Linked DNA regions of Kluyveromyces lactis. The protein of the gene in region 1 purifies or fractionates together with the protein of each later gene. This does not show direct contact. Links are inferred from orthologs where the notes say so. Each region holds a gene or a part of one and is shown in the gene's direction. Other genes may lie near its edges.

Region 1 (3,037 bases):
CTCATAAAATGAACTTTTTTTTGCGAGTTATTTAGGAATTTGGACGGTGGGTTCGATTTGCTTTATCGATATATGTTGGAAAACTAGTCTATACTTTTCTATTATTTATTTACATTGTTTATAATTAACCAAGAACTGACTACTTCTTAGGTATTCTCTCAGAAAAGCGTATTTGCCTTAGATAAATGCTTTTCTCTTTTGTTGAGTAAGGGTTGGGATAAAACATCCCAACCTTTGAGAATTTCAAGTTCTTCTTGCATAGTTTTCTTGTATTGAAAGTTTTCCAAAATGGGTTCCAACTCGAATAGAGCTGGAGTAGCTTTAGAGGACTTCTTAGAACCAGATCTTAACCCAGATTTTAAAACTCTACCTTGTCTCCAAGAATCTGTCCAATAGATGGCTGCAGCATTCTCGTTTGTCATTCCTACTTGCTTTTTGAGGCCACTCAACAAAATGTCAATGTTGTTAGTAGGGGTTGTAGTGTAGTGTGTGTAGAATTGATATTTTCCCTGTAGGTTCAAAAGATACAACAGAAAATCTGCTTGAATCACAGGGTCCACTAGATTGTTTTTAACGCACCCACATAAACTGAGTGATAGCATTCTTTGCTTGCTCATTGCTTTGGCAGGTAAAGATATTCCAGGCGTATCATATAGAAACAACCCTCCTTTATAATCACTGATTCTGATACATTCACTAGTGTTCCTGGTGACACCTGCCTGATCACCTGTCTTCGCAACCTTCTTGGGTTTGCTTCCATCCGAATGATCCAAGCCTGCATATCCAGTAAATCTTAAACTATTAACGAGTGTTGATTTCCCAACATTAGGCATGCCGCCAATTAGCATTCTATAACCCAGTGGTAGTCCCACAGTCTTCTTCCCCGGATCATTTTTCTGGAGAAACTTATCATACTTCCATTTTAATATATGTAAGAGATCTTTAGCGCCCTTTTTGCTTCTTCCATCTATCATGATATATTGTTCGTCCATTTCCTTATGCCATTTATTTAATGATGCAATAATAGCAGGATCGCATTGATCAGTTTTGGTGTAAACTACTAGTCTGTCAACTTTCTTTTCTAAGGACAAGTAATCGAATATGAGGTTCCTAGTGGCTATTGGAGCCCGGCTGTCTCGAAGTTCAACTAGAAGATTAAGCTGAGGAAGGAGATTTTGAGCTCTTTGTATAGCTTTCTTTTGATGTCCTTTGAAGTCACTTGTTGGTATATTGAAATCTGGGAATACCATTCTTGGTACAAATGTAGACTGCAGCCGTCTACCTGAGTATTTGACACATTTTACCGAAACGTTCATATCTTCCAATACAGTAAGTTTGTGAACAACTATTACAGTTAATGGAGTTGTCGTTAATGTTTATGACAAAGAAGTAATCAGTAGTTTGTCAACTTTCTTTTGGTGAATCATGATAGGTGATCATTAAAGCTTCTTTCAACATGAGAATTACTTTTTACTGCGTTCAGAACAAGAACTTTGAAAATACTCGATGAGCTCATGAAAAGAGGAAAAACTCAATCATTGTTTCAGACTTTGCAGCAACGTCTAGTGAACTTAGAACCTCTTGACTGTACAGCAATGCCCTTGGTTTTACTAACTGGTTTTCCGAGTAGCGGTAAAACAACTGTGGCCAAGAAACTCGTCACGTTACTACAGGAAACTATCGATTCCAACGATAAACTGTCAAACTATTCTGTTGTATACCATTCAGATGAAACCTTAAACATATCTCACGATGATTATATTGGGTCAAATGAAGAAAGAAGGGCAAGATCTAAGATTATGTCTGTGGTGAAGAGAGATCTTTCTCGTCAGAAAGTCGTCATTGTTGATTCGTTGAATTACATAAAAGGATTCCGGTATCAATTGCACTGTGAAGTGAAAAACGTGATGACAACGTATTGTTTGATCCACACGGTATGCCCAATGAGCAACTTGGTTGAATGGAATGAGAAAGAGACTGATTTGCATAAACCTTGGGAAAGCAATTTTTTGAATGCTCTTATTCAAAGGTATGAAGAACCAAACCCTCAAACAAGGTGGGATTCTCCATTATTCACTATATTGACGTCTCAAGATGACATCAGTACCCTATACACAGATATTAGTAAGGCAATATTCCCAACCGTGTTCAAACCGGCAACGAATGATAGAGATACTGAGAAGATCCTGCAACAATTAAAGCCAAACAATGCCACGATATTGAAGGCTGCCTCTCACACTAACTCTTTGCAAATACTTGACTCCGAGGCCAGTAGTGTCATAAAGATTATAATGAAATATATGCAGCAAAATGTGGTCAGTGGTGGCACTTCAAGAATAATTCTTACTCCTGAGAATACTGATTTAAACGATCCAAACTGTCTTTATGTCGATCTCTCACTACAAAATTGCTCCATGCCTCAATTACAAAGAATAAAACGTCAATTTGTTGCAATGAATAGATTAAGAAACTTAGAGCAAGATAGAGTAAAACCGTTATTCGTTGAATATTTGAACAAACATTTGAATGTCTGAATTCTTCAACTCATGGCAACACTTAAAGCGCTTTGATCGACATAATCTTTCACATGAACACTTATCTCACATTAAAATAATGAAGGAAATTTCCTTCCAGAATAATATCATATCTGTCTATAAACTATTTACAGCTTTAGTAGCTTCTTAATATTGGTATGACTACCATCCACCCGGTCAAGTAACTTCGATAGTGACGCTTTTAAGTCATCACTTATCACCAATTTACTTCTATGAATCCATAACAAATGACCATTATCCACTATATCTGATAAAATGACTTTGTCATTCTTGTTTAATAATGATTTTATGAAGAAATCCCATACGTTACTATCGACAGCACTCTCACACAAGCATTGTTTCCAAAATTTAAACAAAGTCGGCCAGTTTTCACTTTCTACCAAAGTCGTTATTATTTCTTTTATCACGTCATTTGTTAATGATCTTACCTCAAATTCATTTGTGATGAGATTGACATACTCGTAAAGTGAGTTAAGGTTAGT
Region 2 (3,002 bases), on another chromosome or scaffold:
TTGCAATCCCAGACATATATACAAGGGGCTCCTAGCCAAGTTTGTAAATCATATAATGAAACCGGGATATACTGAGTATATCCACGGTTGAAAACCCAGATTTCTCCAGATGGTGTTGGTTGTGGTACACCATGACCGTTATAATGGAACAGAATTCTTTCGTCTTTCGAAGCCCTTCTCAATGAATTACAGAAGCGTTTCACATCTTCCACACAGGGATCTAAGCTCTGTTTATAACGAGTACGTAGTGATAGCGTCTCGTATTGACTCTGTAAGTTCTTTCCTATTTGTTCAATAGCTTTCTTAGAATCCTGAAATGCAAGGGGATCAACCCATGATTCAAGTCTTGCACATGGCTGAGTCTTAGTCACATCAGGAGGATCCACTCCCAAATTCAAACATAGTAATAATGCTGCTGCAACTGTCTTCTGCCTGTCCTTAACTATTTTCCAATCAGGAATTGGCTGGTAATATCCATCCTTATCCTCTTGCTTCACTTCCTCAGGAACTGGATTCCCATTGGTTCGATGCCTCTTATCATCGTAATAAAATATAAAATTGCTAGCATGCGCCTCCAAGAGTTTCTCACTTGAATACTGCTCTTCAAACCCATGTCTAGTCTCAGTATTAAGCCGTGTCAAAGGCTGTGGGCCGTAAACAACCATTGCTTCAGGATTGGTTCTATTCACAACTGGTTCTGATAAAAGTGGCAGTACCGGTCGATTCTGACAAAATTTAAACGCAGAAAATCGTACAAATAGTAATTACCTAACTGCTAGTCAATGAAGACTCGCTAAATTGACTTCAAACCCACTAAATGCTCTTCAAAAACCTTATCTTTCCAATCATTCCACACTTACTGACCAGTATCTGTATATGAGCTTACAGTATTTTTACGCAAACACTTTGAGTATATTGTTACCCGAATATTTTATATCAGGGTAACGTTGGGAAGATATCCAATAAAGTTATATCAACCACTTCAATACCCCCTCGATTGTAACCCAGATATTTAATAACCACAGTTTATCTAACTTTTACTGGTTTGCGCTTTCAAGTGCACTAAATGGGACCGTTATTGGATACTTTTATGTGTTTTTATTTTGATCTACGTTATAAATATGCAATTTCACATACCAAATGCTTGGTGAAATATTCACTTTGACAGGCGATGAGATGAGATAAGATCAAGGTTCATGCGGGGAACTAGTACTTATGAGTAGCCTGTTTTCATCTATTTCGACTGTTACAGCATTCTTTCAGGGTATCTGATCTATCACGAATATACTGCGTGCTCTTTATTCTCTGAGATGGCTTCTACTAATAATAATCCCAAAGTTCTATTGAAGAGGACGTTCTCACTGAAGGAACAATCTTCGCTAATACTATGTACCGATACGATGGCACAAAGCAGCCGATTTGTGGTTGAGGAATTCCTAGATAACATACCAGACGAAATGCCGATCGTTTTCGTATCATTTGAGACTCCAAATAGACCGAAATATGCACGCCAATTCATAGATGCGTCGGGGAAAACCACCCAGCAACTAGTTGCAGCATTACAACCATACCTACCGCAGCCACAGGAACAAGCTCCTAAGATGCATTTAGTGATCTTTGATACATTCAATTATATCGGTTCTGAAAGCTTGACACAATTCATATCTACCATTGCATCGCCATTTGTGACAATATTGGCTACATATCATCAGTCGATACCAGCCTGGCGTCCAGCAGAACTCCAGAACTATCCAACTGCGATCCAACTCTTGCAATTTATTGCTAATACGGTTATAGAAGTTACTCCGAAGACTTCCATAGACGAGGACGATTTGGATGCAGATTTAAGTAGATTTGTGATACCCAAGAACTTGAACAATCCCACATATTATATCACTCTAACGAACAAGCGAAAGTCCGGTAGGGCTATCAAGAATAAGTTCTTAATCAATTCGAAAACACATGATTATGAATATGTGATAGAGAAACAAGAACCAGTAACGGACGAAAGTCCAGAAATGTTTGAGGGTTTAACAACATTCAACTTGAACACTTCGGAGAAACAGAAGCTGGCAAAAGACCAAGTGGAATTGCCATATCTTGAAGCTCAATCTTTCAACAGTGGTGGTGCAATTGTGTATGAGTTTGAAAAGGATGATGATTATGACGAAGAAGACCCGTACGAAGATCCGTTCTGATCGCTAGAGTCTCGGGTTATTCTAGTTTCATTTAATTCTTTCTCGTGGTTGAGATTATCACAATTACATAGGAATTGTCTGTCTACTCTATATGTTCTATGTACTCATATAAGTGTACGCTTTGACAATCTGAAATGCTATTCATATTTAGCGCTTTTGATAATCTTGTTTTTATTTCCCTGTAGCATGTTTACAATCTTTGCTTTGACGCGCAACAGCTTTGCTCTAGGACCTGTCGATGCAAGTATCTTATCAGCTTCTTCCAGGGTTATCAGTTGCTTAGAAATTAGGTTGAATAGAGTACCAAAAGCTAGACCCATGACAGTAGATGTCAGAATGATGACATTGTAAGGCATACTGAAATCAGGAGTGGATAGAGATAAGAGTAAGGAGGATGTTCTGGCTTCATAACGTTCTGGTGTAAGTACTGCAGCAACAGCAGCTTCGATCTCAAAACCATGGTTGGCATCAGGGGGATATTCTGCATATTTAAGCAAGGATTTATCGAACTGGAATGATATAGCGAATGCAGTGTTAGGCGGGATAATCATTGCCCTTTCCAAATGTGTCGGTCTCTCACGATCTCTTGCCGGGGAATAGAAGGTAGATTTTACTACTGAATCTAGAGTTAGTTCAGGATCATCACTCTCTATGGCTAAGGAGGACAAGTATACTCCCATGAACCAAGGCAAGGATTCAAAATAAACTAATTCCACAGCTTCGTTGGAAGGATTACGAAATACTGATCTTAACCCGCCACGGTCTTGGCCATAACCAGTGAGAGCTCTGGAAACGTATATTGGA

What was found.
Region 2: the proteins of KTI12 (region 1) and IKI1 purify together in Saccharomyces cerevisiae (affinity purification with western blotting; 5 studies listed by BioGRID). This does not show direct contact. The link is inferred for Kluyveromyces lactis from reciprocal best matches to the Saccharomyces cerevisiae genes KTI12 and IKI1.

The regions. Positions count from the first base shown.
Region 1 is NC_006042.1:271,679-274,715, forward strand, and holds KTI12 (Kti12p), read left to right. Parts: upstream 1-1,514; coding exon 1,515-2,534; downstream 2,535-3,037. Other genes in the region: putative GTPase MTG1, read right to left, coding at 159-1,316; ATP25 (Atp25p), read right to left, coding at 2,663-3,037. UniProt on the Saccharomyces cerevisiae protein: Elongator complex-associated factor that is not a structural subunit but rather transiently contacts the complex.
Region 2 is NC_006037.1:831,120-834,121, forward strand, and holds IKI1 (Elongator subunit IKI1), read left to right. Parts: upstream 1-1,310; coding exon 1,311-2,198; downstream 2,199-3,002. Other genes in the region: ubiquitin-binding TORC1 subunit KOG1, read right to left, coding at 1-665; GPI-anchor transamidase subunit GPI16, read right to left, coding at 2,336-3,002. UniProt on the Saccharomyces cerevisiae protein: Component of the elongator complex which is required for multiple tRNA modifications, including mcm5U (5-methoxycarbonylmethyl uridine), mcm5s2U (5-methoxycarbonylmethyl-2-thiouridine), and ncm5U (5-carbamoylmethyl uridine).